Linked DNA regions of Canis lupus familiaris. The protein of the gene in region 1 purifies or fractionates together with the protein of each later gene. This does not show direct contact. Links are inferred from orthologs where the notes say so. Each region holds a gene or a part of one and is shown in the gene's direction. Other genes may lie near its edges. The genes, in order: POLR3B, POLR2H, UXT, POLR3K, POLR1D, POLR3C and CRCP.

Region 1 (4,173 bases):
AAACACATTCACCCACCAGCTTCACCCCTTGCCAAATTCTTGAGCATAACTAGAAGGGAAAATTGCACACGCCTCTCTTCAGTGGGTGATGGATGGCATTAGGTGAGTCTACCAGGAGCAGCCACACCGAGGAGGACTGGAATCATTGATGATCAGAGATGGAAAGGACCTTGCTCTGACCCCCTTGTACAACTAGGAAACTTGGGATAAGGAGGTCACATAAGGACTGCATGACAGAGCTGGGACAGGGGTCATGTCTCCCGACACTCCGTCTTTTGTGCCCTGCAGTCCCTTCTGTGTCCCCATGAATTTGGCCATCCCTTACTGGCACAGCGGCTTGGAGGCCAAGATACTGGTGCTGGTGGTGCTGAGGGTGCTAGGAGGTAAGGCAGGGGCGCAGGGGCCTCCGCATGGTGCTCGTGGCCTTTGCTGTTTCCGCTCCTTCTTGGTGCCATGGCCCACACGTGCACATACAGTGTTTGAGCTGGGCCAGCGCGGCTGGGAGAGCCCTAGACATGCTGCCCTGCTCACCAGCTCTCATTAACCCCTCAGACTCTCTGTGCCTGTGCCTTCATCCTCAAGATAGGAAGGACAGTGGCTCCCTCCCCTGATGCTATATGGAGCAGGTGGCACATGGTAACTTCTCCCCTTCTTTTGAGGAGGTTGTGGGGCAGTTAAACTTTCTTAGAGGCACCAACCTCCCCCCCACCCCTGCTGTTGCTCCAGACTAAAGGAGAAAGGTTTCTTCTGTCAGAGCACTGAAATAGTCACCGTCTTTTATAACCCTTATTACAGTTTTTCTAAGGATTCATTGAGTCAGCTGCGTTCTAACAGACATTTACTGAGCACCAATTCTGTGCCAGGCAGGGTCACTGCTGCTAGAGCCGTAGTGACCAAGGAGACAAAGTGCTGATCCTGAGGCGTTCCTCATCTGTGATGGGGAAGACCTATAATAATCGGGGAAATAATAAATGTATGTTATAATATCAAGTGGTGACAAGTGCTCTGAAGGTAAAACCAAGGTAAGAGTTGAGACAATGTGGGGGCACACTGATGGTGGGGTGGGAGGAGCACTCCTTTACATAAGGTGATAAGGGAACAGGAAGTCTCTGGGGGTGAAATGTTTCACAGCCATGTGAATACCTGGTAGAAGAATGTTTTACAAATAGTAAGTGCAAAGGCCCTGAGGCAGACAGGCTTGCTATGTTTGAAGAGCAATGAAGAGGCTGGTATTACTGGAGCAGAATGAACAATGGGGAAAGGGAATAGGATGTGAGTCTGAGAGGGGCAAGAAGCAGATTATATTAAACCTTATGGTGTGATAGAAAATTTGGATGATACGGATTCTGAGTGGTAGGAAACCATATGGAATTTAGAGCAGAAGAATAACTTGCTGTGATTTACATTTTAGGAGTCACTCTGGTTTGTTTTGTGAAAAACAGATTGTTGAGGGACAGGAACGGAGGCAGGGAGAGCAGCCAGAGGGCTGTCTGTGGGGGTCCAGGCAAGAAAGCCTGGTGGCCGGACCTGGGTGGGGGGTAGGGGTGAAGGAAGGACCATCCTGTACGTACTTATTCACAACCTTTTGAGTTTTCATTTATTAATGAAACAGTAGGTCTTCTGATATATCTATGGTGTGTTTCTATTTTCAGATATAGCCTTCTCATTCCATGCAGACTGAAAATCACCCTCCCAGTCACTCATGAACCCGTTCTGGAACAAACCAGGCCCTGCCAGTAAGGGGTCCTGGAAAAGGCTACCTCTTCTTAACCCAAACCTGATTTCTTAGCCCAAAACTCTGACATTTCTTTCAGCGAGCCCTTAGAAGCATACATCTATTTTGGCCCGGTGTACTATCAGAAACTGAAGCACATGGTGTTGGATAAGATGCATGCCCGAGCCCGGGGGCCACGAGCTGTTCTCACCAGGTAAGAGAAGGGCAGTTACAGAATTTATAATGCAGCCAAGTCTATCTTGCATTTCCTAGATGCAGCAATAAGCAGACTCAGCGAAGTTTTGGTTTCCTAGAAATGTCAAAATTTGGAGTGTTAGACATCAACAGGAATGCTGTGTGTCTGCTTAGCATGAAACAATAGCGGCTGATTCAGAATCATTCCAGAGGCTTGAGAGCAAACCCCTCACTGGTCCTGTCAGTAGTCGCTGAATATAGTCCTTGACTGTACCTGTCTGCATAGACCATCTTATTCAAAGAGGTTCATATATGAGAATGTGGACACACTTACAGACCCACCGCATTACACACATGGATACACCTGCATGCTCCCTCGTATACACAGAAAACACAAACATACAGTGTTTGGGAGCCCAAGCCACAGCTGTCATTTATTAAAACTTCTGTTACTGGAGCAGAAGATCCTGCACTGGGGTCCAGTGTGCCCCATTCACCAGTGTATTCTCCACTCTAAGCACAGTGTTGTATGTTAATGAATGGTTGGGTATAAATGTTGGGAAGGGAATCACAAATGCTAAGTTTCGTGTGTTCTGGGTACTACATTTTCTGGCTAGAAAAGCATATTTCAGGGCATTGGTTCTCCACCACAAGCACTTTGGCCTCCCAGGGGACATTTGACATCTTGGGATGTCACAGCTAGAGGTGTGGGGAGGGAGCTACTGGCACCTGGTAGGTGGAGGCCAGGAAAGCTGCTGAAGATCCTACAGTGCCCAGGGCAGCCTGCACCACAGGAAATGACCCAGCTCAGTATGAGGTTCGTGCCAAGGCTGAGGAACTGCTCCCAGGAGAGGGAGCATAGGCCTTGAGGCCAGATAGACATGGATGTGAACTCACCTCTGCCTCGTAACTTTACCACAAGTCTTGGACAGATCACTTAGCTTCTCACAGCTTCAGTTTTTCTCATACGTCAAGAGGTGACAGTAATGCCCACTTCACAGCGTGTGGGGAACAGTCAGATGTTCAGATACGGAATGTATATGGTGCCAATCCATGGGGGATGCTCCATAACTGCCCAGGTCCCTGCCTGCTTGCACTCATCATGGCTCGATGTTCCATATAGGGCAAGGGATTCAGGGCGAAGCAGTCAGTGTCTGACTTTACTTTTTTAAACCAAGGGAGAGGTATGGATGACTCAGTTCCATGACCATTTAAAACTGAGTAAATGCACATACCTGTTGAAATGCTGTGTGTGGTCCAAATTGCAGAAGAGGGAAGTGAAGTCAAGATTCTCAAGACCCTAGTGACCCAGCAGTGAGACCCAACTTGGTTTAGGTGTTCCTGTCCCTTGAGCGCTGTCCCTCTGGAGCTTCCGTTTCAGTTAGAACATCCAAAAACTATTCCAGAGGAATGAGTGTCAAACAGTTATTTTCTATTTTGTACTTTGTTGTGTACAGAGTTATTACTTCTGTGCATTCTGTGGGAAGACTACCAGGGGTGCATTTGTCCGCCCACTTTTTTGATTGATTTAATCCAAGTTTTGGTTTCTGCCCACATGTGATCTAGCCACCTTCACTTGTCCAATGGCCACAGATGGAGGGACTCCTCTCCTATCCCAGGTATTCTGTCAGCAGATAAAGACAGCCCTTGTGCTCAGTGATGAAGTTTCCACTACAGTGTGTTCATTTTGATCATTTGTAAGTTTTTCACACGTAGATTGTCTTTGAAAGAATAATCTACAACTTAAATTGAGCTCCCAATATAACTTTGGCAACAACAAAAGGTAAAATTTCAGCATGGGTTGGCATACGCCCTGTTTACCTTTTTAAATCTAAAGCAAGCTTGAGGGAACCCTGGGTGGCGCAGCGGTTTGGCGCCTGCCTTTGGCCCAGGGCGCGATCCTGGAGACCCGGGATCGAGTCCCACGTCGGGCTCCCGGTGCATGGAGCCTGCTTCTCCCTCTGCCTGTGTCTCTGCCTCTCTCTCTCACTGCGTGCCTATCATAAATAAATAAAAATTAAACAAAACAAAACAAAATCAGCTAGCCAGGGCAGCCCTGGTGGCTCAGCGGTTTAGCGCCAACTTCAGCCCAGGGCCTGATCCTGGAGACCTGGGATGGAGTCCTACGTCAGGCTCCCTGCTAGGAGCCTGCTTCTCCCTCTGCCTGTGTCTCTGCCTCTCTCTCTCTCTCTCTCTCTGTCTCTCATGAATAAATAAATAAAATCTTTAAAAAAAAAAATCAACTAGCCAGGGAGCTCAATTTT
Region 2 (4,790 bases), on another chromosome or scaffold:
GCAGAGTGCGGCGGGCCCCGGCGGGCGCTGCTGGCTCAGCCTCCCGCTCGCGTTCCCTCCTCGGCGGGCGGGCCGGGGGCGGTGCCCTCCGTGCCGCTCCGCCCGCCCGCCCATCCGCAGGGGCCGGCCCAGCCGGGCGGGGGTCTGCGTTGGAGCGGCCTCCTGGGCACCCGGGAGGCGGCAGGGGGCGCTTGGAACGTGCTAGGCTGCGCCCCCTCGGCGCAGAGGCCCGGGACGGAGGGGGGCGCCGGGGGCGGAGGGGGCGGGCCCGCTGGCACGTGGATGGGCCGGGCCCGGCCGGTGGCGCCCAGTGCCTGGGCGGGAGGGGCGGGAGGGGCTGGGGCTCGGGAGGGCCTGGGGCCCGGGGCGGCAAAGCCGTCTAAATCACACCCTTTGGGCTCAATCTCTCAGGAGTGACGCCTTCTCTTGCTTCTGGGGGTGGGGGTGGGGGGGCGGGCAGCGGCTCAGACGGGCCTCGCAAGGCCCCTCTCTGCTCCGTCGAGGGTGAGAAGCAAAGCTGGAGGGACTCGGAGGGGGACGCTAGGCCCAGAAGGCGGGGGTGAGGACGTGATGCTCGGAACTGAGACCCTCCCGTGTCTCTCATCCTCTTCCCTCCTCCTCTTCTCCAGGGTTCCTCTTCTAGGAAGTCACACCTGGAGCAACCTGGCCTGCGGGGTGTACGGGGTGGAGACAGGGAGGAAAGGTGAAGGGGTGAGGCCCGAGGGGAGAGATGTCTAGGTGCTGGCGAGGAGGCTCCTGGAAGGCGGGCGTGGGGGTACAGAGGTCGTTTTTCCCTGGCGGGGCCCAAGGAGAAACTCGAGTAGCTGCTGACGTCTCGCCGCCACCTGGGGATCTGTGTTCTCTCTCAGGGTCTGGAGAAGGATGGAGCAGAGGGTGGGGTGAGCACAGGGTGGATGGACAATGTAGGAGAGAGCGTGTTAGGGGAGAGGCGGGTGCCCAGGACACGGGCAGTGTGCGGGAGGACGCAGTACCAGGATGGAGGGGCCCGCGGGAGGCAGAGGCGGTGCCCAGGAAGGGGCAGTGTGAGAGGAGCGGCACCCAAGAGGAGGGGGGGCTCGTATCCGTGGGAGCGGACGGTGCCAGCCTGAAGGGGCACGTAGATCAGCGTCCAAGGGAGAAGGCGGGGGGGGGGGGGCAGGTAGTACCAAGCTGCAGGGGCAGCGCTGTGTGATGGGGTTAAACGCCAGCCGTCAGCCGGGCTGAAGAGGCGGAGTGGAAGAGAGTGGGGCCCCGGGGAAGAGGGCAGTGGTAGGGGGGTGCTGTACCAGGGGAAGGGACGAGCGCAGGCTTTCCTCTTCCCCATAGTGACATCATGGCAAATTCCCAAACGGGACGGAGCCGGCTCGGGTGACATCCAGCAGGGCCAAGCCGGTCCAGCCCGGTCCAGCCCGGTCCAGCCCGGGCCCGGCTAGGAAGCCTCGGTGCCAGCTGTGGGGACTGGGCTCTGCGCCCCGCAGGGTCAGCGCGCTGGGGGCGGAGTTCCGCCCCGTCCGCCCTCCGCGTGGACTGTGCCCTCGGCGGGCACGCAGACCAGCAGGGGAAGGTTTGCGCCGGGCTTCTCCGGGCCAAGGATCAAGGTCCCGGGCTGGGGTAGGCCCGCCCGCATTCCAGGCGTCCCGACCCGGCCTCTCAAGAGGGCGCAGCCGAGCCTCCGCGTACAGCGAGACGCCGCGCCGCCTCGGCTGGAGGTGGAACTAACCGGGTCCCCGCCCCGGGGCGGAGCCACCCGGCCCCGAGTCCCGCCCCCCACTCCCGAGGCCTCTCGGAAGGCGTCGTTCGGGGCGGAAGTCCGCGAGCCCCGAGGCCCAGGCGGCGGAAGTGGCGGCGGCGCTGCCTGCCCGCGCGCATGCGTGTTTCTAGGGCTCTGCGGCCGCTCTCTGGGCGCGCGCTCTCCTTCTCTCCTTTACTCCACGCGAGGGGGAGCGCGTACCCCTAGGCGTGGTCGCGCTCCCGGCCCCTCTCGTACTCTCGTGGCCACCTCACCATGGCGGGCATCCTGTTTGAGGATATTTTCGATGTGAAAGACATTGACCCGGAGGGCAAGAAGTTTGACCGAGGTAAGGTGGAGGTAGACGTAGGGGCGGCCGAGTCAGGGGGTAACCTCCTCGGGGACACGCCTGTGGGCCCCTGGTCCACCCACGCCGCGTGGCCCGCCCCTGCCGGCAGTTCCTGACTCAGGAATCCCCATCAGGAGACCTTGGATCGATGGGAACTCGGCGTCTCCCGAACTCCGCCTGGCTCCACACAGGCTGGCCCGGTGCCTGGGTGGCCCGTTCTCATGGTGCTGGTGCACCCCCGTGCATCTTCCAGTCGCTCCCCACTCTGCTGGGCGCTGTAGCGTGCACCTTACACACACTTCGTCCTGCCCAGTTCTCTCAGGAGCCTCCATGAAGTAGTTGGTGTCTTACCCATTTTGCCCCGAGAAGTTAAGTAAGCTACCCAAGGCTGCACAGTGACTAGTCCGACTTCAGAGCCTGTATTCTTGTATTGTCCTGAGAATCTCTAGCCCTTTGTGACATCCGCTCTGAATTAGGATTGCTGCTTGCCATACAGCTCTTTATTCTGCCGTTGATCAGACTGGGCCTCCTTGGGGGTCTCTTCTTTTGTCCAGAGACTGAGATGTTCTTCAAGACAAACACCAGGTCTTAACAGTCCTGATAGTCCACTCAGCACAGCAGCTGGCACAGAAAGACAAAACTTTTTTTTTTTTTTTTTTAAGATTTATTTATTTGATAGAGAAAGCAGAGTGAGAGCGTATGAGTGAGGAGGAGGGGCAGGGAGAGAAAGAGAGACAAGCAGACTCCCTGCTTGAACAAGGAGCCGGATGCGGGGCTCCATCCCAGGACCCCGGATCACGACCTGGACTGAAGGCAGATAAACAACTGGGCCACCCAGGCGCCCTGAGACAAAACCTTTGGGGGGATCCCTGGGTGGCTCAGCGGTTGAGCACCTGCCTTTGGCCCAGGGCGTGATCCTGGAGTCCCGAGTCGGGCTCCCTGCAGGGAGCCTGCTTCTCCCTCTGCCTTTGTCTCTGTCTCTCTCTCTGTGTCTCTCATGAATAAATAAATAAAATCTTTATAAAAAAAAAAAAAAGACAAAACCTTTGGATGAATGAATAACTTGTCTAAAGTCAGGTTGTTTGTTAATCACCTAGGCAGGCCTAGAACCTGGATATTATTTATTGCCAGAGGGACCTTTGGTTGTTTTCTGGGATTCTGTCCACTTGCCATAGTTTTCACTCCTTTCCTTCTGGCATATCTGGTTCTCATTGAGTCTGCACTTCTTTGAGAGCAGACGTGAGGCTAGTGGATGCAGATGGGGTTCGAATGAGTGCTCAATTGCATGTAATCCCCCAAAGTGGGGTCTGCAGGGTCTGCAGAGCCTGGCAATTACCTATGCCACTCTTTCTCTACCTCCCTCCAGTGTCTCGGCTACATTGTGAGAGTGAATCTTTCAAAATGGACCTGATCTTAGATGTAAACATTCAGATTTACCCTGTAGACTTGGGTAAGTATTGAACACAGACAATAGCAGAAGGCTTTTTGACATTTCAGCTGTTCTTTAGCCTCTGGTATTGCCATGATTTTCAGGTGACAAGTTCCGGTTGGTCATAGCCAGTACATTATATGAAGATGGTACCCTGGATGACGGTGAATACAACCCCACAGATGATAGGCCTTCCAGGTGAGGAAGTGAAGTACTTCCCTCTCAGGAAAGGAGTACTTGAAATACGCTTGAGGACTAAGTAGATAAGTGGTATAGGAAAAAACCCTTATTTAATTTGTGGAATAAATGATTATCAGTAGTATCTGAGCAACCTTAAGGAAATTGCTGCACTTAAGAATTCAATGGGGATCCCCAGGTGGCTCAGCGGTTTAAGCGCCTGCCTTCGGCCCAGGGCATGATCCTGGAGTCCCTTCGGCCCAGGGCATGATCCTGGAGTCCCGGGATTGAGTCCCGTGTCGGGCTCCCTGCATGGAGCCTGCTTCTCCCTCCGCTTCTCCCTCTGCCTGTGTCTCTGCCTCTTTTTCTCTCTCTCTTTCTCTCTCTCTCTGTGTCTCTCATAAATAAATAAATAAATAAATAAATAAATAAATAAATAAATAAAATCTTAAAAAAAAAAAAAAAGAATTCAAACAACCAGGTAGCCTGGATGACTCATGGCTCAGTGGTTTAGCGCTGCCTTCAGCCCAGGGCTTGGTCCTGGGGACCTGGGATCGAGTCCTGGGTTGGGCTCCCTGCATGGGGCCTGCTTCTCCCTCTGCCTGTGTCTCTGCCTCTCTCTCTCATGAATAAATAAATAAAATCTTAAAAAAAAAAAATTCTAACAACCAGGTGTTTTTCCAGGGCAGCAATTACATGCTTGTGGGTTGTACCTTATCGATGGCTAAGGAGATGACCATCAAGTGACCCAGGCTATGTGAGCCTTGCGTCTTGGGAGAGAGTTTGGTGTGATGGAAGGGCTTTGGAGCTCTACTGAGTTCAAATCTCAGCCCTATCAGTTCTTTGTTGAATGGCTTTAACCTCTTGCAGCCTCAGTTTCCCCATCAGTAAAGTGCAGATGATCACACCTTGCTCATATGGTTGCTGGGAGGACTAAATGGCATTGTGTTTGGAAAACGTCTGTTAGAATGGTGACACTTAGTTACCAGTTAACCATTTTTTTTTTCCAGTTAACCATTTTTAAAGAGCTTCTTACTTTTGTTTACTACTTTGAAGAATAACCTTGCTCCTACTGTTCCACAGGGCTGACCAGTTTGAGTATGTAA
Region 3 (3,691 bases), on another chromosome or scaffold:
ACTGCCCTCCCTCTCTCTCTCAAATAAATAAATCTTTTAAAAAAATTTTTAAATAGGAAAAGAAACATTGCCTAGGATGGAGCAGTTGCAATTTTAAACAGAATGCTTGATTGGCTGTAAGGTGTGAAAGTTTTGGGCTGAACAACTGGAAGGATGGAGTTGCCATTATCTGAGAGGGAGAAGATAGAGGAGGAGCAGATTTGCAGAGGAGGATCAGGAGTTCAACCTAGGACCAGTTAAGTATGAGGTGCTTATTAAACAGTGAAGTGGAGTTTTTGAAGAAGGAGTTAAAACTCCCAAGGCTGGAGAAGGGTCTGAACTGAAAATATAAATCTGGAAGATACCAATATCTTGGTATTCAAGATATGGGTTCATAGTGCTGTATTTTTTTCCATTTTAACATTCTATGTTGTTACCTTCTACTCTCCTTACCATATCTAATTTGCCTTAAATTGATTTCTGCTTGAACAGATAGCTGAGCACAACAATGTCTGCCTCCCTTAGGACAGTATCAAGACCCTGTGTAAACTAGCCCCTTCCTACCTCTGGGACCTTTTCTTGGACCACTTTCCTTCCACCAGTCACTTAATTCCTAACACCCTGACTTCCTGACTGGTCCTCCAAAAGCTCCTTCCTGCCTTGTGGCCTTTTTGGGGAAAAGACCCTCCTACTGTTTAACTCTTACTCATTCTCATTCCTCAGAAGGGCCTTCCTTAGCCCTTTGTATCAATTAGGATTCTGTTGGCTGAGTCTGATCCCAATCAGCTTAGAAGATAGAAGGAATTGGGGTGCCTGGGTGGCTCAGTTCAGCGACTGCCTTCAGCTCAGGTCATGATCCCAGGTTCCTGGAATTGAGCCCCGCAATTCCAAGGGCTCTGCTCAACTGGGAGCCTGCTTCTCCCTCTCCTTGCTGCTCCCCCTGCTTGTGTTCTCTCTCTCTCTTTCTGTCAAATAAATAAATAAAATCTTTAAAAAAAAAAAGAAGATATAAGGAATTGACCAGTATATGTAACTCAGCAGTCAAGGGCCAGAGTGGTTTGAGGCAACTCCAGCTTTCCAGTTGCTTAGGCCTTGGCATCTTCCTTAAGTCCTCTCTCTCACACCTGACATTCAACCATTTGGTAAATCCTGTTGACTCTACCTTCAAAATATATTACAAATGCAGTCACTAATCATCACCTCAGCTGCTGACACTGCAGTCTAAGTCTCCATCTCTCACCTGGGCTATTACAGTAGCCTTCCCACTGGACTTCCTGCTTCCACACTAGCTCTCCTTATCCTCAGTCCTCCACACAGCAGCCAGATGAATCCTCTTAAACCCTGGTCAGTGGGGCACCTAGGTGGCTCGGTCAGTTAAGCGGTTAAGCGTCCGATTTCAGCTCAAGTCATGATCTCAGCAACCTGGGATTGAGCCCCACATCAGGGGTTATACCCTTAGTAGGGAGTCTGCTTCTCCCTCTCCCTGTAGCCGGACAGGAGCCCTCCCTCTCCTCATGCACACACATGTGCTCTCTCTCTCTCTCTCAAAATATTTTTTAAAGAACCCTTGTCATTTCACATTCCTTTTCTGATCACAAGCCTCCCTTGGCTCCAATCTCACGTAGAGTAAATGTCAAGAGTCCTCACCATGGCCTTGTGAGTTTTACATGATCTGCCTCCCCACCTTATCTCTCTGACCTCACCTCCTACAGTTTCCCCTTCCCTTATTCTTCAGCCATGCCAGCCACTTTGCTGTGCTTCAAACATGCCAGGTACACTCCTACCTCATCATTTTTCCATGTGTTGGGCCTTGTGTCTGGAACATTCATCTTCCATCTATCCTCATGATCATCTTCTTTAACTCTTTATGCAAATGCTTCTCGCACAGCCATTTGTAAGTGCTCTCATTAGAATTGCAGCCCCCCACTCCTGCACTCATCCTCTCTTATCATTTAACTTTTTCATTTTACTTATAACCCTCTGAAATACTCTATATATTATTCCATAATTTGTCCCTCTTAACGAGAACTTGAGCTCCATAAGGCTGAGATTTTTGTCTGTTGTGTTTGCTGTTATCTCCCAGTACCTAAAATTGCCTGGCATAGAGTAGGGATTCAATCAATTTCTTTGAATCAGTGCAGCCCAGATGGTGGCCAGGCATCTCTGCATAGGAGCAGGTCAAGTAGTAACATGTCCTACCACCTGCCATGTGGAAATCATCCAGGACATAGGCAGTTCTTGAAGTGATGAGGAAAAATCATCTTCATGAGCCTAAGTGTGGCCCACTCGGCCCTTTCTTGTTTCTTTTCTCCAGGCTCAGCGACAGCCTCACCAAGGACTCCATGAATATCAAGGCCCATATCCACATGTTGCTAGAGGTGAGAGTACCTCACCCCATTCCCAGACTCTGTCTCCAAATGTATTCAGGGTGGTGTGACCCGACGAAGGGAGAGAGCCAGGGATGGGAAGGACCATTTTCCTCTCTAAGCAGGAACCAGGCTGGCTCTGAGGGAGGGGAGGTCAGAGCAAGCCTGGGCTGAGGCCTAGACAATCTCTGTTCAATCTCTTCTATCCTTTTTTTCAGGGGCTTAGAGAACTACAAGGCCTGCAGAATTTCCCGGAGACACCTCACTATTGACTTCTTCCCGCCTCCGTAGACATTAAAGAGCCTGAATGCCTTTGAGTCACATGGCCCTTCTTTCCCCACCTCAACCCTTTGCTGTTTGCTAAGGTGCCCTGTTTCTAAAGCACAAAGTTACCAGGAACCCCAGAGAGCCAGTCTCTATGTGGAACCTTTAAAGCACCCCTGAAGTCCCGCCTCCAGCCTGTTGCCTGGCAGCATTTGCCACTTGACTTTCTGCACTGCCCTCTTTTCTGTCGCCTTGGAAACCTGGGCCTCCCACCTGACCCTTTTATCTTCCTGGACGTAACTGTCTTAATCATAGAGAATGGGCTGATTCAGGGTGGAGGTTTGTTCCCAAGACAATCAGCCTTTCATTCCTGGCCCTAAAGTTTGCCCCTCTCCCCCACCCTAATCATTACTGGGGTACCTTAGATTACACCCACGCCCGTCTCATTCCAACCTTGGCCTCACCCGGCTTCTAACTAATTTCAGCTTCCACCAATGGGCGCAGAGCCTGATCCCGCCCTACCCCGGCCGGCCCCTATTTTAGGTTGAGTCTAGCTTCCGCCAATCATTGCAGAGCCAGGTTCCGCCCCCTTATAACTGGCTGAGGCTCAACGCTGACCTCCTCGTAGGCTTTAGTTTCCGCCACTCAACGCTCCTTTGCGTGCCTGGCCGCTGTCCAACCCTATCTCTGCTCTGTCCTAAACTCGTCTTTTCTACCCAATCACGATAGAGTTATCCTCCCACCTACGCACAGTCCTGGCCCGACCCCCTCCCAGCCTGCCGCTACGCCCACTTCCATATAAGTCCCGCTTCCGCTGAGCAGCGTGGAGTGCAGCACCGCCCAGTTGGTGTTTTGGCAGCTGTCTGGAGTCCCTAGTCCGCCAATCAGTAGAAAGCAGAGTCCATCCGCCCCTATCCTCGGAGGCCGTCTTCCATGCAGGCCAATTATTATCAGGCAGGCGCCCCCAGAATCTTGTCAATCGCCCACAGGCTGTCAGCCTTGGGCCAATCAGCGTGAAGCGCCAGCGGGGCCCAGCACGCCCCCTCGGAACCCAGGCGGCTATCTGCGTTCCATCAGTTCTC
Region 4 (4,776 bases), on another chromosome or scaffold:
TCCTGCCTGAGCTGCACGTATCTCTGAATGGCCTTCTTCAGGTCCAGGACTGTGGCGTTCTGCACCACAACCACAGCTGCGGGAGAAGAGCCATGTTAGGATCCACAGCCACAGCCTAGGACGGCAGGAAAGGAACCAGAAGCTCTGTCCAGACTGTTTTGGACGGAGGCTCAAATTCAGGTGGGGTAGGCTTGTGGTTGCCCCGATGCCCTTCGACGTACATGGCTCTTGAGTTTCCCCTGAGCAGCCATGGCAGCGTCTTGTCTGCGTGACAGCTTGGACTGCAGGGTCCGCAGGGAGAGGGCGAGCACTTACGCATTATCTCTCCATCCATCTTGCACACGCGGACTGTCATCGCTTGGCCATATTCTAGTGCTATCTGGGAATTGACTTCTTCCAAAGTAACCTGCAGAAAGACCAATGGTGGAGGTGGGAGCCTTGGCTGCCTTTGCTATCCCAAACCACAAGACAAGACAAGCGGATAGCATCGGAAAAGCAGTGCCGTATCTTACGAAAGACGAGAGACAAGATTTCTTACTTCTATGCTAGGGTTTCCCGGTTGCACCTACATTTTAAAAGTGTTTAATGTGCAAAGTGCATTAAAGCTCAGGAAAAGAGGAGCGCTGAAACAGGAGAGGGTGAGCGCCAGATCTGGGCTCTGGGGCTGGGAAGGAGGAGGCGCGGTCAGTCCGGGATCCAGGGCGACACCGGGCGGGGGGGGGAGGGGAGGCCGGTGTGCGAGGGTGACCGGGGCGCCCAACCCAGGAGTGAACGTCCTCGGGCGGGGCGCGAATCTCGATGCGGAGTCCCGGGGTGGAGCCGTTCTCCCCACTTGAGCCTCAACTACGGAAACGACCTTAGAACCTGCACCTGCAGCGCAGCCGCGCCCGGGGCGCCCGGGGCGCCGTCGGGGTCCGCCTTGGGACCGGACGACCGTCCGCCTGTCCCTGTCCCCTGCTGCCCCCGCTCGTGCTCGGGTCAGTGAGGTCCTTAAAGGACACGGGAGAATCGAGGCCCGCCGCATCGTCACCTCTGGCGCCCACAGGGGGAGGTCAGGCACCGAGGTCCCGCCGCGCACCTGGATCGGGAGGTCGCAGAGCAGCGGGTCCTGCACCACCATGGCGAGCCCCTCCTGGAACACGTCCACCGCCTCGGAGTGCGGCAGCGCCTCCTCTTCATCCTCCTCGGCCTCGGGCGCCTCGGGCCGCGCCGCCGCCGCCTCCGCCTCGGCCTCGGCCTCCGCCGGCTCCAGGGCGCCCGCCCAGCCCCGCGCTCCGACCGCGCCGCCGCCGCTTCCGGCCGCGAGGGGCGGGGCTGCCACGGGGACCGATGGGAGGCTCGAGGCGGCCTGCCGCAGGGGCTGCTGGGAGCGCCAACCCGGCCCGGCCATTGGGGCGGCGGCGGCCCGGGCCAATGGGAGCTCGCGACGGGCCCGACGCCGGCGCCCCGCGGCCGCAGGGGCTGCCGGGAGCGCGCGGGGCAGCCATGCTGCTCTTCTGTCCGGGCTGCGGGAACGGGCTGATCGTGGAGGAGGGACAGCGCTGCCACCGCTTCGCCTGCAACACCTGCCCCTACGTGCACAACATCACGCGCAAGGTGATCACCCGCCGCCCCCCGCCCAGCAGCCGACGCCCGCCCCGCCGGGGTGCTCCAGCGGCCCCGCCCCCGCCCCCCGCCGTATCGGGAGCGGCCTGGCCTCACCCGGCTCCCGTGGCGGCGTCCCCGGCGGCGGCCCGGGCGGCCTCGTCGGAGCCGTGGCCGGATCAGGCCCGCCCTGTGCGCTGGCGCGGCTGACTGCGGGTCCGGGCCGACGCCGCCAGCCCCCGGGGAGCAGCCCGCGCCGCGCACCGACACGGCCGCCGGGCCTTTGCACGTGCTCCCGCTGCCCTCCCCGCCCCGCCCGCAGCCTCGCCGTGTTTGGGTCGTGCCGAGCAGCGTGGCTCTGGCGGACTCGGGTCACCTGCGGACACGCCTCTACGGGACTTGCGTGCCTGGGGTCGGTGCTGCGGCCCCAACCCGGGCCCTGGACGGAGCCGCGGCGCACCGCCCGCCCCGAGCTGCCCGCGGGAGTTGGGGCCGCCGCCGCGACGCCCGGGACGGAGCCGGGGGCCTGCGCGGAGGGCCCGGGCCGAGCGTGGACGGGGTGGGGTGGGGGGTCCCGGCTGCATCCGCCTCTTGGGCCGGCCCGACGCTGGAGCCCCTGGACCCGGGCCGAGCCCTGCGCCGCGGGTGTAGAGACGCGGCTGCCCAGGATCGTGCAGCCCGCGGGGAGGAGGGCAGTCGGCGGCCGGGTCAGCACCGCGCCCCTACCCGCGGCCTGAACACCTGCCGCCTTTCGCCAGGTCACCAACCGGAAGTACCCGAAGCTGAAAGAAGTGGACGATGTGCTCGGCGGCGCGGCGGCCTGGGAGAACGTGGACTCCACCGCAGGTGAGAGCTGAGGCCGCGCTGCCTTTGAGGAAGGAAGCTCCTAAAAATAGCGTGTGTATTTTCTTCTTTAGTGATTTATTTCTTACACAGGCAATATTGGCATAAACCCCAGAGACGTACAGGTGTGGGTTAGTCTCAAAGCCACAGCCTCTTAACATCGCATGACCTTGGTGGCCTCCCTCCGTTGTGAGAGCGTGAAGGGAGCCCCGCAGCACTTGGCCTCTAGCGTGGTCCTCAAGTGGCGGCTGTGCGGGGAGCAACCGATGGCAGTAATGAAAGTCGGAGCCTAAGGAAGAGTATATGGTCCATTTGTTCAGTTGTGGATCTTTTTTAAAATTAATTATCTCTAAAAAATATTTTATTTATGTATTCATGAGAGACGCAGAGACAGAGACACAGGCAGAGGGAGAAGCAGGCCCCATACAGGAGCCCGATGTGGGACTCGATCCTGGGACCCCCCGGGGTCACACCCTGAGCAGAAGGCAGATGCTCAACCACTGAGCCACCCAGGGATCCCTGGTGTAGATTTTTATTTTTAATTAATTAATTTATTCATTCATTCGTTTGTTTGTTTGTTTATTTATTTATTTATTTATTTATTTATTTTTCTTCCTGGTGTAGATTTTTAAAAGCTGATGGCAGAGAGCATTCACATGTTTATTTCAAGTCTTGTTTCCTGTCTGATAGAGGTAGATGTGACCAGGGAAGGAAAGAAGAGAGCCCTAAACACATCTGTGTTGAGCGGAGGAAGACCCAACTCCTGTTTAGTATTATCTTTTCTCCCCCATAGAAGAACATCTAAATCTGATATGGTAAAATTAGCATTGGCAGAATTTGCCAGGAAAGAAAAGAAGATGATTTTGGTACCTAATGTTCAAAGTGCTGTTTGTGAGTGTTTGAAGGCATTATCAAGCATAGGGTCAGTTTCCCGAACTGAAGTCACTTTGCCTTGAGGTATTTGGCAAAGGTGTGGGTTGTATGGTGAGGTCTTCATAAGAACGGCCTGAGGAACTGCTGCCGAGATGGATCCCTAAATTTAATGGGAAGTGGATTTGTCATCCCCTGGGGGCTCCTCCAGGAAGTTGAGAGGGCTTAGGTGATGGAGATGCACTTGGAAGAATCTGCCCAGAGTGGACCCCATCATGCACATGGTAGCCATAAGCCACATTTCATGTCACATTTCCAGCTAGTCTTCAACCAGATTTGAGAAGAAAAATGGGACTCAGGGAGGGGAGCAGGAGTGTTTTCCAGGGTCACAAGTCCCCTCAGTGTGAGAGTGTAGTGGGAATGATGCCACTAATTACAGCCTTTCAGTCATGGCGCAAGGTGCCCTAGGCAGGGGATGCCAGATGATTGGGGTCGGGGAGGGATTTGGTGTGTTAATACCTACCTACTTCTAGCAGGTGTGTTTGGTCATGAGCATAATGTGGGTCACTTGTTTTTCTCGTTGCCAGAGTCATGTCCTAAATGCGAACATCCTCGTGCCTATTTCATGCAGCTTCAGACTCGCTCTGCAGACGAGCCGATGACCACCTTCTACAAGTGCTGCAATGCTCAGTGTGGACACCGCTGGAGGGACTAGGGCCAGGATCCAGCTGTGTCATTGTCTGCCTACCTTGTTCCCTAGGGTGGATTCACAGCCAGGAGTGTGAACTGTTTGTCCTGAACTGTCTCTGCTGATGTGGCCAAAAGCTAACCCTTTCACGGGAGCTGGTCAGGGTACCAGCCCATCTGGCAGTCAGCGGATGAGCTCATTTATATCCAGGGGGATTGTGTGTGCAGGGAAGGGTATACATAAGTAAGTGTGTTCTTTTTAATATCCTGTTTGTGGATCTTGTAGGTATATTGGCTAATTGACATCTTTTCACCATTATCCTTCTTAAATATGCACTCTGATTGCACAACTAATAAAGTAAAATGTTATAATGTAGGACATTAGATGTATCTAAGTATTTAACTTAATTGTAAACTTATCACTATCTATTCTGAATATTTAATTAAAATGGAAAGTCTAATACTGCTTTTCTAGTGTTTATTTTTTTTTAATTTTTTGCCAAGAAGTATATTTTATTTTCGTTAATCATACAAATAATTTGCTATAATATCCCAGGGTAAACTGCAGAGTTTGGCAGTCTGACTGGGGCGGGGTGGGGGCTGGGGGGCGGCCCTCAGAGACCTGCAGGCTGGCAGCCTTCAGCGTGGAGTGCCTGGGTTCACAGCACAGCTTGTCACTCGTGGCCATCTCGCAGGTGGCTCTTCCTCTACATCACGACCCGGGTGTCTCGAAGATGTTGTGGGTGGGGAACCCTCTAGATGCTTAGGAAATTTTATTCCGTTTCTACTGCT
Region 5 (4,173 bases), on another chromosome or scaffold:
TCCCAAGAGTGCTGAGCTTCCATTTCTCTGCTTGTCTTAGAGTTTCACTTCGTGGCTCTGGAGGTTCTCGTGGCTTAGCACACTATTAGGAATGGTTCTACGTGGAGGCAGAATGACATTTGTAGTGTTAAATCCTATTACTGTATATATGTAAATATGTAGGCTTATAGAGAGCATACAAGAAGTTCAATGCTTATTCAATAATCATTTTATTATTTTATAGGGAAATTTTAAAACATTTGAAACTTAGGTTTTCAATTTTTTATGTTTAAGGTAATTAACCTTTTGGCAAATATATTAAAATTTTATCCATACTAAATGCAATCACATATTGTTTTTTAATACTTTAGATTATTAGAACACAATTTATGAGGGTGCCTGGGTGGCTCAGTTGGTTGAGCATCTGCCTTCAGCTCAGGGCCCTAGGATATGATCTTGGGGTCCTAGGAGAGATCCCCATGTCAGGCTCCCCACTCAACGGGGATTCTACTTCTCCCTATGCCCCTCTCCTCAGCTCCTCCTCTCATGCTCTCTCTCCCTCTCAAACAAATAAATTCTTTTAAAAATACATAACTTATGTAAAAATCTTTATTTTAAAAGTATAATGATTTTGCTGAAATCAGGGCAAGAAAATAAATTTTATGGAATAAATACATATGAATGTTTGTCTTTCTGTATCTTTCTGTATTCATCAATATTACCAACTCATAAACAGTTCTCACTGTGTGCAGTAAGTTAATACCGTCACCTCTGGTATTTTGCTGACTTCCAGTCATTTTAAAAAACAGCTTTACACATGTTTTTTATTTTTATTGTAATGAAGGTATATTTATCATGGTAGGAGGAATGAATTTTTTATTTAATAGTTTTTAGCTTATTTTAATACTTGTAAATATTAAGAAATATGGTCTGTGGGACTTTATTTGTCCTTTGGTGGGCCTAAGAGAAAAGAGTGGTAGTAACATCTACTAATATGGAGCAAACAGGAAATCAGGAAAGTCCTGCAGAGAAGGTAACACGTGATCTGGATGTCTGGTGACAAGTATGTGGCTGGACTGCAGAGCAGTTTAGACAGAGAATGTGGCCTCCACCGTGCATGTAATGGCAGATAGAATGCTGGGGACACCTAGCCCAACTGGGCTCCTGGACTTGCAAAAAGCTAAGACCCAAGAATGTGGTAATCCCACGGGGCACATATTGTCTGGTGAGGTCTTGCAGACATAGGCCAGTAAGCCACCGCCGCAGTCTCCATTAGTATGCTCAGACTCCTAACGCTGAGTACTTTTATTTCAGAGTGCACTTAGCATCTCTACTAAGAGATGGAGTTTAGAGAATGTGAAAGGAGCAGAGTGAAGTGGGCTTTACTCATTCGCATAATGACTCAAAAGAATGATACCAGAAGCCGAACAAAGGTCATTTATCTCTGGTAGTCCACAAAGAGAAAAGTGTTTTCTAGATATGAAAGCTTGCTGAGATTTTCAAGCAGCCCTAGAGGATGAAAGACCTCCATCCAGACTGGCCAGATTCCAGCTGTCCCTCATTCTTAGCACTGACTTGGCGTCTTCAGTCCGCGTCTAGGCTTTCCCTTTATGGCCTGATACTTGATGCTACCGGGGCTGCGGTGCCAGGGCACTGCTGTTCCTGTCTGGCCACCACAGAAGATGGCCCAAGTTGCCCAGGGCCATTGGCTTATTTCATCGCATTTCTTTGCCCTGTGACACACGATCTCACTGTTGTGTCTTCACCATCCTTGTCTTGTGTTTTCCATCTCTCCCAGCATCTCCTCCTCCAGCTACAGATACAGCAGTTTTACTTGTAAATCTGTGCATCGTTGTCCTGTCCTACTCACACCCAGAATCCATTCATTGACCAGATCTCAACTGAGGACCTACCATGTGCCAGACGTAGGGAAAACTAGGGTGAAGAGGACCAGTCTACTGAGCTCTAGGTCAGATATATTGAGGCTCCCTCTCTACGTTCCCCTAAGTAATCCAATATTTCTTTTTCTTTCTTTCTTCTTCTTCTTTTTTTTTTTAGATTTATTTTTTTAGTGGAGAGATGGAGCCAGAGAGCACAAGCAAGGGGAATGAATGGCAGAGGGAGAGGGAGAAGTGGGGCCCCTGACCTGAGCCTAAGGCAGACGCTTAACTGACTGAGCCACCCAGGCACCCTCAATATTTATTTCTAATATATACATACAGGTCTTTATTTGATATACAGGGCCTACTATAAGCCTCTCCAGGGAAAGGCCTTGCTCACCATATAAATCATCATGCAGAGCATGTAAGAGAGATTGGCCAAATTTAACATCATCTTGAGAATTAACTTCTTGTGCTTTCATCTTTTATCTATAAATAATTATTTTCATATCCCAAATGATCTCAATGTCACTCTTGAGTTTTACCTTTAAAAACCTTTCCCACAATTTGAATTTTCTTACCTTTCTGTATAGCTGATAGGCGAACCCAGACAATTTGATGTTTTCTGAAATACAGATGGCCTAAATTTCTTCATCTGTGTCTATGATCAAATTACTGAATAATACAGAACCCATACTTTGTCATATGGTTTCTCCCAATCCACATGGTCACTCCACTGCTAATTACTGCTGAGTGGTTATGAGCCTGTAGGCAGATGTCCAGCAGTGATCTGAGTCATCTGTCCCTGGTTTTTTTTTTTTTAATCAGAATGTTCTGTGGTCTGACATCAAATCCTTACTTAAGATCAAGTAAATTGTTCCATTTTTTTTTCTTCAAAACATCACTCCATGGAAAGACATTGAGTTTTTTTAAAATTTTGCCCAGTGCCCTGCTGTATGTGGATGGCTCGGGGATGAACTGGTGGCCTGCAGCATGGATGATGATACGCTGGGTCTGGCAGGGGCCTCCTGGTCAGCAGCAGCCTGTCATTGCACTCCTTTGTGCCCAATTTCCAAGTCAGTGCTTGTCACCAAGTTATACTTGTTTAAACACAAGACCCTCAGCCTGTCTTCCATGACTTAATTGCCATATTTGAACCGCTTTTCCCATCCATGATGTGACAGATACTGTACATTTAGTTGGTCAAAGGTAACTTTTTTTTAGTAATTTTTTTTAAAGATTTTATTTATTTATTCATGACAGACACAGAGAGAAGGCAGAGACATAGGCAGAGGGAGAAGCAGGCTCCTCACAGGGAGCCCGATGTGGGAACTGATCCCAAAACTGCGGGATCATGCCCTGAGCCAAAGGCTGATGCTCAGCCGCTGAGCCACCCAGGTGTCCCATCTTTTCTTTCTTCTTCCTTTCTTCCTTCTTCCTTCCTTCCTTCCTTCCTTCCTTCCTTCCTTCAAGAAGGAAGGCCTGGACGGTATTTCAGGGAGTGGGGATGGGGAGGGCGTGCTTCGGTAGGGATTTAGGGTGGCTTTATTTAGGTTCTTTCTTCTTTTTTGTTTCGTTCTTTGTGGTGTTCTTTTTCTTTCTTGCTTCTTTCTTTCTTTCTTTCTTTCACTATAATTATACATATAGAAAAGTGCACAAATCCTAAGCATGCAGCCTGATAAGTAGTCAAGTGAATGTACCTATGAAACCAGCACTTCAATCACAAAACGGAACATTAGCACCACAGCAGCTGCCTTGTACTAATTCATCAGACTCTGTCTTTTTTCCCCTCTGTGTCTTTTTTGTACAACTATTTGACGTGTAGCTTTTCTGATTTGATTCTTTGAAAGATCTCATTTTCTCATGTTCTCCATTATTTAATTTGCCAATTCTCAATTTGTGGTTTGATTTCAGGTACATTGGTTTTCATGCTACCCTTTCTGTATACTGATGGAGCCAGTTAGCTCTCGGTTGATTTCTGTGAGTAAAAAGAAACATAAGACCCAGATGACTCCAAACTAATTTGCTTGACTCTGGAATTTAAGATGATTTTGACCAGATTTGCATTCCCACTTGGGTTCTATTTCAGCTGCTATTATCATCCGTTAACATTCCTTCAGCATGTACCAGCTGGCTTATGGAATGAACAGGCAGGCCTCAGGGAGCCCGGAGAGGATGGAAAAATGGGTGGAGACGATCCTACACATGTGAATCCTTGAAAACTGATGTTAGTGGGTTCCTGTGCCCAGAAAACAGTCTGCATAGTGAGCTGGCTTTCTTGGACTTCTTGTTTGCACTCAACTGTATATTCTAA
Region 6 (4,173 bases), on another chromosome or scaffold:
CTGGGGATCCATCCTTAAAAAACCTAAACCATTCTCCTAGCCAAAGTACAGCTATTCCCAGTTGTTCTAAGAATCCACTATCTGGAATCTGAGAACCTTTGTTGGTACTCAGAACATCATTTGGCTTCTTGTATTGCTTTTGTTCAGTATACTAGTTTTATGTATCTTAAATTTGTTTTTAGTATATCTGTTTCTTAAAATATAAATATTTAATGTACCAAATACATTTTATTTATATTCTATTTCATAATTATATTTATCCATATTATAGTTATATTTTCAGTTCATATTATTTTTAAAATTTTAAACTTATAACAAAAATTTCAGGTTTTTTTTCTTTCAATACAGTAATTATGTGACTTCTATTCAAACAATAGAAATGTATAATTTTTTCAAGTTGTAGCCCCCTATATTTTTAGAAATGGCGTTCAAGTTCTATATCTTATTGTGGGTGGTAGTTACAGGGATATACATAATTGTCAACACTCATCAAACTGAACCTCTAAAATCTGGGCTTGTTATTATATGTAACATACCTCAGTTTAAATATATATATATATAGTTAGGACACCTGGGTGGCTCAGCAGTTAAGCATCTGCCTTCTGCTCAGGGAGTGATCCTGGAGTCCCGGGATCGAGTCCCACATCGGGCTCCCTACATGGAGCCTGCTTCTCCCTCTGCCTGTGTCTCTGCCTCTCTATCTCTCTGTGTCTCTCATGAATAAATAAATAAAATCTTAAAAAAAAAAGTTTAATAAATAAATATGTATATAGTTTCATGTGATCCCAGCCACAGGGATTCTTGTTAATAGTTTGATACCTAACTTTATTCAGACCTTTTTTTTATGTATAGTCTCACATTTAAATAGATATATGTATTTTTTTCAGCAAAAAAAAAAAAAAGAATTCTACATACTGTTCTAAAGTTGTTTTTGTGTGTGTGTGTGTGTGTGTTTTTTTTTTGTTTTTTAAGAGAGAGATTTTATTTATTTATTCATGAGAGAGGGCTTCCCATGGGCTTCCCACTGGGAGCCCAGTGCAGGACTTGCTCTCAGAACCCTGGGATCATGACCTGAGCTGAAGGCAGATGCTCAACCACTGAGCCACCCAGGCACCCCTAAAATTGCCTTTTTCATACAACAGTGTATCTAAGCCACCTTTTTCATGTCAGCATATATAGATCTTATTTTTTATGACAGCATCATGTTCCACTTAGTAGCCATGTTGTACTTTATTTTAATCAATTCCTTATTATTGTACATTTGGATTGTTTCTAGTTTTTTTACTCTTACAAACAATGCTACTATGTATTTATGTATTAAACATCTATATTTCAACAAAGTCAGCAATTCTAAGTTCCCAAGCCCATTTTTACCTTCTCTTTTTGCTCCATAGATCTTCAGATCTCTGCCTGTTGGCTATAACATCTCTAAACAAGTTCTTGATCAGTATCTCACTCTACTGGCAGATGATCCAGTAAGTGTTTTGCTTCCTTTTTGGGGTTTTGTTTTTTTTGTTTTGTTTTGTATTCCTTTTTTTCCTGCTGTGTTTACAATTTATTTCTGCCACTGAAACCTGGTATCCTTCTGTAGCCTCATTTTCTACCTAGCCCAGCTCAGACAGTTTCTCTACCATCAGCTGATAGGAAGGCTATCTGCTACAGACTTTTGGCCATATTTGCTCCTTTGGAAACAGAATCACTGGACTTGCCATCCAGTTAACTCTCTCTCTTTCTCTCTCTCTGTGTTTTTTCCAATAGCTAGAGTTTGTTGGAAAGTCTGGCGACAGTGGTGGAGGAATGTATGTCATCAGTATCCTTACCAGTTATTTCCTTATAGTCAGGCAGCCTGAACTAAGAAGAAGAATGGTGACTTATGAAATAAAAGATTGGATAATATTTAGTATACTAAGTAAGTCAGAAAATTGAACTCATACATTGATGATAAAGAAGTAAAAAGGACTTTGAATTAACCGAATTTTAGTTAAGCAAAACCCTGTTTTAGGAATAAAACTAAGATCACAGTGACCAAACCAAAACATTACTGACCATAACCCTCTACATGAAGACCTGCATAAAGCTCTAGGATCCCTAGCCACAGCCACTCTGGAGTCTGTCGTGCAGGAGAGGTAAGAGTGTCACCCTGCTCAGGGTTGGGGCCATTTTTCCACACTTCATTTGGATAAGCAATTTAATCATTATGTAAGCACCCCATGTAGATACATCTTGGTGCATCTTGCCCGTTTTTCCACTGGACTGCTACAGATCCCATCCACTACTGCTCTACTACTTAACTCCCAATGGTGCCAATTAACCAGCCTTCCTAAAGCCTTTACTTATAAATGCAGGAACTCGGGTACTCAAATGAGTCAGCAGTTGGTGACTCTTTTATGATTAGCAGTACCATCATTAATCTGTGGAGTTGTGAAAGAAATCTCTGACCACTGTTCTTCTCTCTGGTCCTGGCTCCATACATGGAAACAGAGCAACTGCCATCTGTGACTAGGAGCTAAAACTAATCTATGTCATGCCATTTGCTTTCTTTATTCCTTTCCAGGTTTGGGTCTCGTTGTGCCAGAATATTCCGTCTAGTTTTGCAAAAGAAACACCTGGAGCAGAAGCAGGTAGAAGACTTTGCAATGATTCCAGCAAAGGAGGCAAAGGATATGCTTTATAAGATGCTCTCAGGAAATTTCATATCACTCCAGGTAACCAGTAGCATAACAATCACCAACCAGTGGAGCTGGTCAAGGGTGAAAGAAACTTCTGAGGCAAACCTCCTGAACCTCAAACAAACTCTCACTTCAGCTCTAAGACAGAAAAAAAGATTAACAGAGACCTAGCAAGCACTTGAAGAGAATAGGGAAGCCTTTTTTTTTTTTTTTTTAATTTTTATTTATTTATGATAGTCACAGAGAGAGAGAGAGAGAGAGGCAGAGACATAGGCAGAGGGGGAGAAGCAGGCTCCATGCACCGGAAGCCCGATGTGGGATTCGATCCCAGGTCTCCAGGATCGCGCCCTGGGCCAAAGGCAGGCGCCAAACCGCTGCGCCACCCAGGGATCCCCCTAGAATAGGGAAGCTTTAAGTGGCCTTAGTTAAATAGAGGCACCTCAAGAAATCACCCCAGAATTCCCTTTTTCCTTAGCTCCTACTCCTTGTGATTTGTCCTTTCCCCAGGTGTTAAATCTATTATATAGATTAAATCTGCCAACATCATCTATTGGGTCCGCAAAGCCAGGTAGTATGCCCTATGAGGAAATAGACAGAATGGATTTGGGAGACAGAATCACAGTTCTGCTGCTGACCCAGTTACACTGAGCAAATTATCTACCGTCATTTTTTCTTATCAATACAATGGTGATGGGTGGTGGTAATAAAAATAATAGTTTGTCCTAAAGATCAAATACAATCTACATGGCACATAAGAGTTGCTCAGTAAGAGCAGCCTGGGTGGCTCAGCGGTTTAGCGCTTCCTTCGGCCCAGGGCATGATCCTGGAGACCCAGGATTGAGTCCCATGTCGGGCTTCAAAGCATGGAGCCTGCTTCTCCCCCTGCCTGTGTCTCTGCCTCTCTCTCTCTCTCTCTCTCTCTCTCTCTCTCTCTCTGTGTGTGTGTGTGTATGTGTGTGTGTGTGTGTGTGTGTGTGTGTGTGTTTCTCATGAATAAACAAATAAAATCTTAAAAAAAAAAAAAAAGGTTGCTCAGTAAATGTTAATTGCCTTCTCCTTCCTCCCCACTGAGGATGCTGACAGTCAAGTAGAAAAAGCTCTGCATGTGGCTGATTTTGCTATAAACACAGATGCTGAATGACTGGGGAAGAGGAAAGGTTGAGTTGCTCTGGATGGAACAAGTGTTTACCTTGCCATTTTTTGAAGAACAGTGTGATTTCTCTTTTTCTTTCTGTGGACAAATAGGAAATTCCCAAAACCCCAGACCATGCCCCATCCAGGACCTTCTATTTATATACTGTGAACATCCTATCAGCTGCCCGAATGTTGCTGCACAGGTGCTACAAGGTAATTTCTTTGGACCTTCTCCCCATTTCCTCCACACAGAAGAGTCTAACTCTAATGCCCCAGTTAGCCGGTACAAGAGCTACTTAAATAGAACCATGTGCATTTCTTGTCTTCTCTTCCCTCAGAGCATAGCCAACTTGATAGAAAGGAGACAATT
Region 7 (3,219 bases), on another chromosome or scaffold:
TCAAGTCTTCTCTATTTGGTTTTCTAAAAATGAGGCCTCTGAGAAGTCCTATAACTCTAGTCTGCCTCTCTGAGAGAGGAAAGGATAGAGGCATGGTGTTCTAGAAAGAGCTGGAATCCAAAGGCAAAGACCTTTCCCTACTTGCTGTAAGACCCAGATCAGGTTTTCTTTACAATGCTGAGCCTACACTTACTCATCTATAAATTGTCCTGACTTCCACATGCTTGAGAAGCTCTGGTGGCAGTGATTCTGGGAAAGCCCCTGCACAAATACTGGTGGGAAGTTGTCAGTGTTCTAAGACTAGTCTAAATCTCCTTTCCTGCTTCCCCTGAGTCAGGAAGCAGTTCATAATCAACTGCACATGGCAATTTATAAATTTGGAGACATTCCTTTCTCAAATGGAGATCATCTTTTCTTAGGGTTAAATAATCAAATTGGATATACCCCTTTCCAACTCCTTCATATTTTGGAGACAGTCTCTGTTAGATTACTTCCTTTTACACACTGTAATTTTGCATGTCTGGTTTTATTTATTTATTTTTTTAAGATTTTATTTATTTATTAGAGAGAGAGAGAGGCAGAGACATAGGCAGAGGGAGAAGCAGGTTCCTTGCAGGGAGCCCGATGTGGGACTCAATCCCGTGACTCCAGGATCATGCCCTGGGCCAAAGGCAGATGCTCAACCACTGAGCCACCCAGGCGTCCCAGCATGTCTGGTTTTAAAAATGGGTTTTTGAGGATTATTTCTTGTTCAGTAGAGGTTATACTTTATGGAGCTTTTGAATCTTTAGGAAATGGTCGTTTTATTTCACAGCATGATGAGAAGTAGCCCCGTTGGTTCACTCAGGGTCTTCTCCACCCTAGAACACTCAGGATGATTCTCTGGTTGTAGAAACATTTTTGTACCCTAGATGAATGAAGAGACTGATGTTTTCCCAGGAGTTCGTGATGTGATCTTAGACACATCACCTGACTTGATGAGCTTCTGTAAAGGGAGGCGGTCAGACCAAAACCCTCTTCAGGGTTTGAAGTCTAGCCTGTTATCCTGTTTTATTTAAATCTGCTGGGATTTCTTTCTGGAACTCCTCTTGGTTCTAGTCACCAGATCTCAGAGGTTGCTGTGGGAAATACCACAGAACAGAACCCTGGACACCTTTAGCTGTTTATGATAGGTGGCTGGTGCCCCTAAGTGAACATGGGTAAGTAATTTGACTGCCTGTGTATTGCTCTTAAAAACATTGTTGACTATATTTGTATTCATTAATATATTCGAGAACTAGAGGTACAGCTAAGAAAACTGGCTCATAATTGTGGATTATCAGTGTGTAGATTTCCAGGACACATCAAACTGGGCTTTAAGTGGATCTAATTTAGTGAGGCAGCAGGGGATTGTTTCCCAGCCATCACTCTTGCTTCACATTCCTAGGAGGTGATCAAGGCCACATGGTGTGTGTTTGATTGTAGGTGTCAGTGTTGGGCAGGCCCAACTTGAGGTGCTCGTTCTGTCTTTTGCCAGGATTGTTGTGAGGGCTAAAAGAAATAACAGATAGGAAGTGCTATGTGCACTCGGACATGTGAGCTCCCTAAAGAGCTGTTAGTGGCAGTGGGAGTGGGGATGAGAAAAAAAAAAATTTGGCACACAGTGGGCAATTGTCAGATGGGTTGTTGATATAGTTTATAAGTTACAGTTGTGTTTGTTGTGAACTACAAAAGTATATAAAATGCTATTTCACTCCCCAGAAGTGAGTTTTCTTTGCATACAAAGCATATTCAAGTGTGCATGTGGATGGGTATAGAACCATTAAGGTTTTCTATTTCTTTGAAGAAAAATGCTAACCTGCAACTTGCTTTTTGCCCTGGCCCATTTGGAACAGTTGCATAGGAATTGGAGCTGGCTTCTCCCTCCCTCGGAGCCAGGGTGGAGAGAACACAGAGACCTGAGGAGGCTCTGGAGCCAGCGTGCCAGAGGCCAGTGGACTAGAAACAGCATGGGTGGGGAGGGCAGCCTGGACACCGCCTGTTGGCTCATCTGTAACCCTTGGAGGTTTTCTTCTGCAGATGGTTGAAGAGAGTGAAGAACGGCTCACAGAGGAGCAAATCGAAGCCCTCCTCCATACCGTCACGAGCATTCTGCCTGCGGGGCCAGAGGCTGAACAGAAGAAAAACATGAATGACATGACAGTGGATGAAGAGGACCCAGCATAGAAGAGCACAGCCAGCCAGCTGCCTCATGAAGCTGAAAAGCCCAGCAGCCATTTCCCAGACATCCAGAGGATTTTTCATTTGGTTTTACCCTTTATCCCAATGATTTCATGGTTGGTCAGATAAAACACAAAAATAAGCTAAGAAGAAGTACATGTGCCTCTGGGAGATAAAACCTGGTGAAGACAGGCTGTCAGGGCAGAGAGGAGGACAGAGTCAAAGAGGACAATGTGCAACCCTCTGTGGTAAAAATACTTCTGTGGCCTTTGCCATAGTTGTGGGCAGGGCCCTGTGCACAGCTGGTAAAATGCTTGCGTTGCCTTTGATTGGCTATGTCCTAATTAGTTTCATCTGCTTCCCTAGGAGCTTCCCAAGCAGGGGCACTGAGCATTGTTGGGGTGAGAGCTGAGTTAGAAGAATCCAGTTAGATGGCCTGAAACTCCCAGAGCAGCAAAAAGTTGCTCTAGGTTAGAATGAGCCACTGAACTTGGCTCACCTTAGAGGAATCTTTTCCTCCAGCACATCAAAGATAAGAGAAGACTGGCCTGTCCAGCCTTCCTCAGGTCTGAAGGCTCTTTTCCTCTCTTGGCACGGGTATTGTTTCCCAGCTCACTATTTATTCTTCAGTGTTAGGGCACCAGCCCATTCTAGTTGAAAAACCACTGCTGACTGACTGAGTGACAGTGACAAAGAAGTTCAGCGTTGGCTGCCTTACTCACCACCGACAAGAGCCCTGGGTACACACTGCCTCTTGAGGCCAGGTGAGCCTCACTTGCACAGTGGACAGATTGCATCTTTTGAAAGGGCACAGATAGGGACAGAATATGAAGAACTAGAGGTTGACTAATAAGAATTTGAATTTGTTGGCTATTGCAAGGTTGCATCAGTTTTTCAATTTAAAATATTAGGATAGGGGGGATCCCTGGGTGGCTCAGTGGTTTCACGCCTGCCTTTGGCCCAGGGTGCAATCCTGAAGTCCTGGGATTGAGTCCCATGTCGGGCTCCCTGCATGGAGCC

The links.
Region 2: the proteins of POLR3B (region 1) and POLR2H purify together in Homo sapiens (affinity purification with mass spectrometry; 5 studies listed by BioGRID and IntAct, with this or other methods). This does not show direct contact. The link is inferred for Canis lupus familiaris from reciprocal best matches to the Homo sapiens genes POLR3B and POLR2H.
Region 3: the proteins of POLR3B (region 1) and UXT purify together in Homo sapiens (affinity purification with mass spectrometry; 3 studies listed by BioGRID and IntAct, counting the BioPlex papers as one, with this or other methods). This does not show direct contact. The link is inferred for Canis lupus familiaris from reciprocal best matches to the Homo sapiens genes POLR3B and UXT.
Region 4: the proteins of POLR3B (region 1) and POLR3K purify together in Homo sapiens (affinity purification with mass spectrometry; 6 studies listed by BioGRID and IntAct, with this or other methods). This does not show direct contact. The link is inferred for Canis lupus familiaris from reciprocal best matches to the Homo sapiens genes POLR3B and POLR3K.
Region 5: the proteins of POLR3B (region 1) and POLR1D purify together in Homo sapiens (affinity purification with mass spectrometry; 6 studies listed by BioGRID and IntAct, with this or other methods). This does not show direct contact. The link is inferred for Canis lupus familiaris from reciprocal best matches to the Homo sapiens genes POLR3B and POLR1D.
Region 6: the proteins of POLR3B (region 1) and POLR3C fractionate together in Homo sapiens (co-fractionation; 4 studies listed by BioGRID and IntAct, with this or other methods). This does not show direct contact. The link is inferred for Canis lupus familiaris from reciprocal best matches to the Homo sapiens genes POLR3B and POLR3C.
Region 7: the proteins of POLR3B (region 1) and CRCP purify together in Homo sapiens (affinity purification with mass spectrometry; 5 studies listed by BioGRID and IntAct, with this or other methods). This does not show direct contact. The link is inferred for Canis lupus familiaris from reciprocal best matches to the Homo sapiens genes POLR3B and CRCP.

Annotation. Positions count from the first base shown.
Region 1 is NC_049231.1:33,261,437-33,265,609, reverse strand, and holds part of POLR3B (DNA-directed RNA polymerase III subunit RPC2), read left to right. Parts: intron 1-1,814; coding exon 1,815-1,928; intron 1,929-4,173. UniProt on the Homo sapiens protein: Catalytic core component of RNA polymerase III (Pol III), a DNA-dependent RNA polymerase which synthesizes small non-coding RNAs using the four ribonucleoside triphosphates as substrates.
Region 2 is NC_049255.1:17,408,167-17,412,956, forward strand, and holds the start of POLR2H (DNA-directed RNA polymerases I, II, and III subunit RPABC3), read left to right. Parts: upstream 1-1,843; 5' UTR 1,844-2,005; coding exon 2,006-2,078; intron 2,079-3,444; coding exon 3,445-3,528; intron 3,529-3,611; coding exon 3,612-3,705; intron 3,706-4,767; coding exon 4,768-4,790. UniProt on the Homo sapiens protein: DNA-dependent RNA polymerase catalyzes the transcription of DNA into RNA using the four ribonucleoside triphosphates as substrates.
Region 3 is NC_049260.1:41,473,209-41,476,899, reverse strand, and holds the end of UXT (protein UXT), read left to right. Parts: intron 1-2,293; coding exon 2,294-2,357; intron 2,358-2,563; coding exon 2,564-2,617; 3' UTR 2,618-2,662; downstream 2,663-3,691. UniProt on the Homo sapiens protein: Involved in gene transcription regulation. Acts in concert with the corepressor URI1 to regulate androgen receptor AR-mediated transcription. Together with URI1, associates with chromatin to the NKX3-1 promoter region.
Region 4 is NC_049227.1:40,886,277-40,891,052, forward strand, and holds POLR3K (DNA-directed RNA polymerase III subunit RPC10), read left to right. Parts: upstream 1-1,436; 5' UTR 1,437-1,485; coding exon 1,486-1,596; intron 1,597-2,342; coding exon 2,343-2,430; intron 2,431-3,884; coding exon 3,885-4,012; 3' UTR 4,013-4,450; downstream 4,451-4,776. Other genes in the region: SNRNP25 (U11/U12 small nuclear ribonucleoprotein 25 kDa protein), read right to left, coding at 1-76, 316-406, 1,079-1,120. UniProt on the Homo sapiens protein: Core component of RNA polymerase III (Pol III) which synthesizes small non-coding RNAs using the four ribonucleoside triphosphates as substrates. Can mediate Pol I proofreading of the nascent RNA transcript.
Region 5 is NC_049246.1:12,034,995-12,039,167, reverse strand, and holds part of POLR1D (protein POLR1D), read left to right. Parts: intron 1-1,777; coding exon 1,778-1,948; intron 1,949-4,173.
Region 6 is NC_049238.1:59,297,698-59,301,870, forward strand, and holds part of POLR3C (DNA-directed RNA polymerase III subunit RPC3), read left to right. Parts: intron 1-1,394; coding exon 1,395-1,475; intron 1,476-1,758; coding exon 1,759-1,810; intron 1,811-2,065; coding exon 2,066-2,126; intron 2,127-2,554; coding exon 2,555-2,705; intron 2,706-3,914; coding exon 3,915-4,016; intron 4,017-4,141; coding exon 4,142-4,173. UniProt on the Homo sapiens protein: DNA-dependent RNA polymerase catalyzes the transcription of DNA into RNA using the four ribonucleoside triphosphates as substrates.
Region 7 is NC_049227.1:753,704-756,922, forward strand, and holds the end of CRCP (DNA-directed RNA polymerase III subunit RPC9), read left to right. Parts: intron 1-2,058; coding exon 2,059-2,205; 3' UTR 2,206-2,352; downstream 2,353-3,219. UniProt on the Homo sapiens protein: DNA-dependent RNA polymerase catalyzes the transcription of DNA into RNA using the four ribonucleoside triphosphates as substrates.